Linked DNA regions of Macaca mulatta. The protein of the gene in region 1 purifies or fractionates together with the protein of each later gene. This does not show direct contact. Links are inferred from orthologs where the notes say so. Each region holds a gene or a part of one and is shown on either strand. Other genes may lie near its edges.

What was found. The genes of interacting proteins can lie anywhere in the genome.
Region 2: the proteins of WAS (region 1) and NCK1 purify together in Homo sapiens (affinity purification with western blotting; 4 studies listed by BioGRID and IntAct, with this or other methods). This does not show direct contact. The link is inferred for Macaca mulatta from reciprocal best matches to the Homo sapiens genes WAS and NCK1.

The regions. Positions count from the first base shown.
Region 1 is NC_133426.1:48,758,521-48,762,806, reverse strand, and holds the start of WAS (actin nucleation-promoting factor WAS), read right to left. Parts: upstream 2,801-4,286; 5' UTR 2,745-2,800; coding exon 2,613-2,744; intron 2,316-2,612; coding exon 2,175-2,315; intron 1,049-2,174; coding exon 962-1,048; intron 861-961; coding exon 758-860; intron 645-757; coding exon 603-644; intron 510-602; coding exon 456-509; intron 1-455. UniProt on the Homo sapiens protein: Effector protein for Rho-type GTPases that regulates actin filament reorganization via its interaction with the Arp2/3 complex. Important for efficient actin polymerization. Possible regulator of lymphocyte and platelet function.
Region 2 is NC_133407.1:39,960,492-39,963,991, forward strand, and holds the end of NCK1 (SH2/SH3 adapter protein NCK1), read left to right. Parts: coding exon 1-388; intron 389-2,333; coding exon 2,334-2,528; 3' UTR 2,529-3,070; downstream 3,071-3,500. UniProt on the Homo sapiens protein: Adapter protein which associates with tyrosine-phosphorylated growth factor receptors, such as KDR and PDGFRB, or their cellular substrates. Maintains low levels of EIF2S1 phosphorylation by promoting its dephosphorylation by PP1.

The sequences.
Region 1 (4,286 bases):
TTCATTCCCTCATGCTTTATCATTCACTGGCTCATTGACTAATGGATTTGTTAAAATTTTCATTTACTCTTGTATTCATTCAATCATGCTTTCTTCACTGACTGAAATTTGTCATTTAGCCGTTTATTCACTGTTCATTCATTCACTCATTCACTAATTTACTCAGTCATCCATCTACCTTTTCATTCATTTATCCACATACCCATTCACCTATGCATCTATCTACTTAGAGTTTTATCCTCCCATCAACTCATCCCTCCACTCAGCCATCTACCACCAATCCATCCACCCATCCATCGATCCACACATCCATGCACCCGCTCGTCCATCCACATACCCATCCATCTACCCATACATTCACCCACTTACGCACCCATCCAACTGCTCATTCCTCCATTCACTCTTCCACCTACCCACCCATCCATCCAGAGACACAGGGAAGAATCAGCACGCACCTCCTTGGTCTCCACCTGGGTGCGGGGGCAGGGGTGGAAGCCCTCCTCTTCTCTCTGGGAAGATAGAATGTGTAGAGAGCTATCACAACCCTGCCACAGGTTCCTGGGCTAGCCCCTTATTACCGCTACTTGCACTAGAGTTCTCACCTTCATTGGCTGGTGGTGGTGGTGGGAGTAGCTGGCGTCTGTCTGTGGATAGACAGATGGATTGGGAGCCAGGACCATGAGAGATAACTTTTCTAGTTCCCCATGCTTGCACTCACCTCTGCCCAACTTCCTTTCCTCCCCTGCGGCCTCCTCACCTCCACTTTGCCTCTGATTCCTTTTTTGTATCTTCTCCTGCACCAGGGCCCGGAAGGCCTGGGCCTCGCCCTCGTCTGCAAAGTTCAGCCCCGCTTGGCAGTCCTGCACATATCTTGGGGTCAGCCGCCTCCCAGGTCCCCCCACAGCTTTCCCATCTCCTCTCCACACCCCAAGTGAGGCCCGAGGGCTGGTTGGTCACTTACATCTCCAGCGAAGGTGTGGAAGAAGGGGGTGGGGGTGGAGTAGACAAGCTGTGAGTACAGCTCCTGTTCCCAGAGCAGCCGACCAGCCTGGAGAGGTGTAGGGTGGGAGGCACAGTGGCACTGAGGCACACCAGGGGTGGCAGGCCTTTGTTAGCTGGGCAGGGAGCAGGGTGTCTGGATTTGGGGGCCTCATGGTCTGGTTTGGAGATTTCCAGCTCAGCACCAGAGAGCTGAGATCTAAGGGTGTGGATGTGGAGTATAGTCTGGGAGCCATACACTTTTGTGAGAGGTTTGGATTTGGGGTTCGGGGCCCTAGATGTGGGACTTGGGAGCTTGAATTTCATAATTTAGGACTCTAGTCTTAGGAAGTTGAGGCTCATTCATAGATTCAATCCATGCCCTCCCCTGCCACCCCAGCCCCAATTCATGACAGGTAGGATTCTAGTATTTGGGAGTTGGAGATGAGATTTGAAGTTCAGACACGTAGACTTGGGAGTTTTGCGGAGGGTCCAGCTAAAGTAAGTGCAATTTGGGGTTTGTGGAGAAGAGTTATGACTTAGGAGTTTGGTGAATATTTGACAGTCTTGGGATCTGGAAGTTATGCTGGGTCCATCTTTATGGGTTTAGAAGGATGAATTTGGGGCTTAAACCTAGAAAGTTCAGGTCGGGGAATTGTGGAAAAGACTTTTTGCTTAAGAACCACCTCGGTATTTGAGTGTTCAGGAATTTTAATATGGGAATTCTGGGGTCTGTGCTGTGGATTTAAAAGGACAGAATTGGAGTTCAAGGATCAATGGAATATTCAACTTTGGGGTTTGTTGAACAGATTTATGACTTAGGAGCTTGGCAAACATCTGGGGTTCAGGAGTTTTGATGAGAGATTCCTGGGATGCAAAATGTTGAGTTTAGAATAGATTTGAGGTTCAGGTACAAATACAGTGCTCATTTATTGGAATTTGTGGAAAAGATTAGGCTTAGGCAGCAGACTAATACTGGGGGCTTTAGAGATCTTGATATGGAGACTGGGGCCAGCCATTGCAGACTTAGAAAGGCAAGCCAGAGTTTGCCATCTGGATGAGTCTTTGGTTCTGGGGCTCAGGGATTCACTGATCAGGTCTGAGGTCTTGGGACTGTGGACACATATGGACACAGATCTGGGTTTGCGGGTTGAGAACTGGCTTGCAAGTCCAGTCAGGGGCGGGGGGGGGGTCACCTGAAGGCCGTAAAGGCGAATGAAGTAGGACTTCTGGGGGTTATCCTTCACGAAGCACACAGCCCCACAATGCTCCTTGGTCCAGTGCTCAGCTCCAGGGGGCAGTGCCAGGTACAGCTGAACAACTGCAGTGGCCAGCGTCTGGGAGGGGAAAGCAGGGGTCAGTGGAGTCTGGTCAGGGGTAGCCACAAGGTCTTGGAGCCAGACCTGGTCCTTCCTGCCTCATGACAGTCATGGGCCCGAAGGAAGAGCTGCAGCCAGAGGGAAGGCAAGTAGACATTGAGATCTTCCTGGGGAGGGTGGATGATAACAGGAGAGTCTAGGAGAGAAGATGATGGAGAGGGAAAGGAGGAGCGGGAGGAGGGGAAGAGAGAGAAGGAGGAGAGGAAGAGGAAGAAATGGTGGGGACGGGGCGGGGGCAGGAGATCCCCAGCTCACCAAGCATTTTCGTCCAAGCATCTCGAAGAGTCGCTGGTTCTCGTGGTCCTGGAGGAGGGTGGAGGGTATGTTCTGTTGAACCGCTGGTGCTCCCCGGCCCCCAGGCCTTCCTCCCATTGGGCCCCCACTCATGGTGCTTTCTGCCCTCGTCTTCTCTGGCGAGGCTCTGGGTGCAGGGTAAGAAGAGGAACTTCCGCAGTGAGCAGCAAGGGAACAGGAAGTGCAAAAAACCACAAGGGACAAGGGAAACAAGTCCTCCAGGGGCCCCTTGGTGGGCCTGGCCTCCTCCTCGTTAGGCCGAGCTTGGGCCCTCTACCATCAGATTGGAACCCTCCTCCACTTGACTGCTTAGACCCATCTTTTGGATCAGCTTGGGTCCTCCTCCTCCTTTCTTACTGTCTGAGGCCCATCTCCTTCTGACTGGCTCAGACCCTCTTCCCTCTGGCTGGCAGTGAGAGCTTAGCCATTGGCAGCACATCTGTGTGCAGGGCACCCTGTGGCAAGGAGTAGTCATGGGCCTGGGTGGCCTCCTTCCTAAAGCACCCAGGTAGCCTGAGGCTGAAGCCCAAGGCCCCTAGTCCTGAAGGGTTACTACACTAAAACTTTTCCTTTTCGCTGGGGACAGTAGCTCACACCTGTAATCCCAGCACTTTGGGAGGCCAAGGCGAGCGGATCACTTGAGGTCAGGAGTTCGAGACCAGTCTGGGCAACATGGCAAAACCCCATTTCCACTAAAAAATACAAAAATGAGCCAGGCATGGCGGCATGCACCTGTAGTCCTAGCTGCTCAGGAGGCTGAGGTAGGAGAATCGCTTGAACCCGGGAAGCGGAGGTTGCAGTGAGCTGAGATTGCACCACTGCACTCCAGCCTGGATGATGACAGAGCAAGACTCTTGTCTCAAAAACAGCAACAACAACAGCAACAACACAACAACAAAAACCCTTTTCCTTTTAATTACAGAGTGAGCCCCTGTGATCCACGCCTATCCTGAGTGCTTAGACACTGCCAATGACGCATATGCCTCTGGTTCACTTCCCCATCCCTTACCCTTGCCTCCCTGCAGCTCCCAAATTACTTTCTGCTCATCTTTTTTTTTTTTTTTTTTTTTTTTTTGAGATGGAGTCTCACTCTGTCGCCAGGCTAGAGTGCACTGGCGCGATCTCAGCTCACTGCAACCTCAGCCTCCCAGGTTCAAGTGATTCTCCTGCCTCAGCCTCCTGAGTAACTGGGACTACAGGCCCGCGCCACCACGCCCAGCTAACTTTTTTGTAGTTTTAGTAGAGACAGGGTTTCACCATGTTGGCCAGGATGGTCTCGATTTCTTGACCTCATGATCCGCCCTCCTTGGCCTCCCAAAGTGCTGGGATTACAGGCATAAGCCACCGTGCCCAGCACATCCCTTTAAAAAAAAAAAAGGAACTTTATATCATATATGAATGCCTGAACAACATCTTGTTTAATTTTCATTGCACTTGAAGTTTGTAAAAGCACATAATCTTCAAAGGCTTGCTTTCTCCCCACTGGACATCCTAGTTTTATCTTAACACTCACATAGCACTTAACGTGTGTGCCAGGCACTGTTCTGATCCCTTTGCCCAGAGTGCGAGCCAGGCAGGCCGGGTGTGAGTGCACGTTCTCGTCCCTCCATGCCTTCGCTCCCAGCTGTTGCTATG
Region 2 (3,500 bases), on another chromosome or scaffold:
TAACCTAAATACCGGGCAAGTGTTGCATGTGGTACAGGCTCTTTACCCATTCAGCTCATCTAACGATGAAGAACTTAATTTCGAGAAAGGAGATGTAATGGATGTTATTGAAAAACCTGAAAATGACCCAGAATGGTGGAAATGCAGGAAGATCAATGGTATGGTTGGTCTAGTACCAAAAAACTATGTTACCGTTATGCAGAATAATCCATTAACCTCAGGTTTGGAGCCATCACCTCCACAGTGTGATTACATTAGGCCTTCACTCACGGGAAAGTTTGCTGGCAATCCTTGGTATTATGGCAAAGTCACCAGGCATCAAGCAGAAATGGCATTAAACGAAAGAGGACACGAAGGGGATTTCCTCATTCGAGATAGTGAATCTTCGGTAAGTTGATTTTCAGATGTAAATACAAATAGAGCTCTATGTATTAAAAAGAAAAAGAGAAATGGAGAGGTTAAGTGGCTTCCCTAAAGTTAACCAGGTAACAAGCTGGGACATAACATAAGCATAAATGTTCCAAAGCTAAAGTCAGCATTCTTTCTAGCTATCTATTTTCAATGAAAAGAGAGTTGTGGCAGTGATGCTACATGCTGAGTTATTTGGTCTTTTCTAGTTCTGTTGATTTTGCATTCCTGATATATTTTCTGTTGCATTAAACTAAATGGAGAAAATGGAACATTGACTTCTTCATTGAATGTAGAATAATACTGTAGATTAAATTGGGAAACATTTTAAAAATTGCTATTGGATACAATGTGTAAGAAGATAGTCACTGTAGTCCTTATGACATAGGAAATCCCTGAATTTAAAAAATTGATACTAAGTTTCTTCATAAATTGGTTACCTGGAAATTGGAATACACTTTTTATTGTAATCTCAAAAAACCTATTTTAACACTGTGTTTGAAATGCATTTGCAATAAAAGGTAAATTATATTGCAATACTAGTAAACAATAAAACTATAAAACCATAAAAGTTGAAAAATAGTATGGTTTCATGGTCTCTTAGATACTGTTTAGGATATTAGAATTTGATGACACTCATTTTCCTTAAAAATGCCCTTTTCCTTGATAAAAGATATCATTACTTTTCCATTTATTAAATCATGATTAATCTTGGCTTTGCGTGAGTATATTTGTACAAAAGGGAATGTGTAATTGCACAAAATTTTGAAAGAAAATGTGTGGAAGTGGGGTGTGGTGGGGAGAGAGATTAATTGAACTTCTAATATGAAGTTCAGGAAAATGGGGCCTGTGCCTAATCCCTCAGAAAAGCAGTTGGTTGGCAGTAGGGAAGAGTGATGACATCCATTTTCTGTTAGTTGCCTGATCTGGCTCACTGTTTGAAACTTTGGGAGTAACTGTAGAAAAAGAGGCTTTTGGGGGTTGATATAGACTGTAACAACAACAACAACAACAAAAAACCTAATTAAAAAGAAAATAGCTTGAATGCAGAATTGTGTGTATTTTCTTGTGGGTAATTGAGCATAAATATAAGACAAAATACAATATATACCATTATTTTTAGCAGTATACTTTTTAAGGTTAGGTCTCAAGTAGGCATATTTTGTTTAGCCTTCACAGTGTTTTTTAAACGTTTAAATTCATTGCCCATATTTAAATATTAGGATATTTATTGTAAAAATTCAGACTTTGGACCATTTAAAATTGAAAGAACTACCAACATTGAGACCCTATTCCTGCGGGGCAACAATCACAGCTGAGAAGTCACCACTTCTTTAGATTGGTGATACACTGTCATTTTCTCTGCCCATCTACCCTTCCACTCTGACACTTGTTTACGTTATTCTTTTGGCTCTTGTAGGCATTTGAGTTTGTGGCCTTTCCTTAAAGTTTAGATTAATTCTCATTTGTGTGTTCTTCATTTTTGGGAATTCAGCGTGTTATCCCTAAGACAGCTACTGTTAGCTACACATTGAAAAGGGGTTGGGTGGGTATCTTAGACTTTCTCATGTGTTTCTCTGACTGGAGAGAAGATAGCTCTTGTTCTTCAAATATGTAAGGGATTTGCTGTGGGTGTCTACTGGTGGAGCTGTGGGTGTTAAGAGACTTTTGATTACACAGGTTTGAATCCTGGCTCTGTTGTTAACTAGATGGATGATACTGGCCAATTTATTAATAGCTTCCCTGAGACTCAGTTTTCACATCTGTAAAAAGGGTTTTGTTTTAGGGAGTAAAGGAGATAAATCTATGTAAATAATTTACCATGGTACCTAGGACTTAGTGCTTAAATTTTAGCTTTTAGTTTAATATAAAAATACTGATAGAGGGCTTTCAAAATGTTTACTGTATTTTTTTTTCTCTTTTAGCCAAATGATTTCTCAGTATCACTAAAAGCACAAGGGAAAAACAAGCATTTTAAAGTCCAACTAAAAGAGACTGTCTACTGCATTGGGCAGCGTAAATTCAGCACCATGGAAGAACTTGTAGAACATTACAAAAAGGCACCAATTTTTACAAGTGAACAAGGAGAAAAATTATATCTTGTCAAGCATTTATCATGATACTGCTGACCAGAAGTGACTGCTGCATAGCTGTAATTTGTCATGTAATTGAAGACTGAGAAAATGTTGGGTCCATCGTGCTTGATTGGAAATGGCTGTTTCTAAACCTTTATGAGAATTGACAATAAGTATTTTTATTATAATTCAGCCCATACATATATACTATGTATGCAGTGCATCTGCATAGAACAGTTCCTTATCCTTGGCCTTCTGTTTTATTGTTTTTTTTCTTTGCTGTTTTCCCTTTGCTTCTAATATTACAGTTTTGTATTTTGAAAAAAAAAATCAAATAATGCTTATCAGAATCTTTATATGGAAGAAATCCTTTATTGCCTATCCTTTGTTTCCTTGTAAAGGCGCCCTGTTCTGTTATGGTTTTTCATTATATAAAATTATTATATCTATATATGACATATGCTAAAATAAATTTCTTGGAGAGTGTTAATCTTTTCTGTGACTAAATAGCAATAATAAATGAAAAATTAGAAATTATTTCCAGGTATTATATTTGTCACAGGCCATTGTAAATACCAAGTATATTGTGTCTGCCTTAATTTTAAAAAATGCATTCATTGTCTTCAGTCGTACAGAAAGACACATGAGACATAGATTAGAAAACATGTTGTACAATTTTAATTTACAACTGTTGGAAACAAAAATCACTTTCTTAATTTTTTTTCCAGTGCTTCTCCCTTATCTGGTTATTCAAGAAAGCCAAATTGTCTCTGAGATATTTAGCTTTTCAAACTATAAATAGATGCTCTAGTGTTATTTATTTTTTTTAATCCCACTTATTTTACCAGGGCATCTTGTATTAGGATATGTTATATTTATGCCAGTGGGAAACAAGTTATGGCCAAGTTTTGCAAAAATAGGAAGCAGTGAGATACTTGGTTTTTTCTCCTCACTAAATATCAGTAATTATCAGGAATGGTATTACCTATTTTCATTTCCTCTTTTCAGCTTTAAATT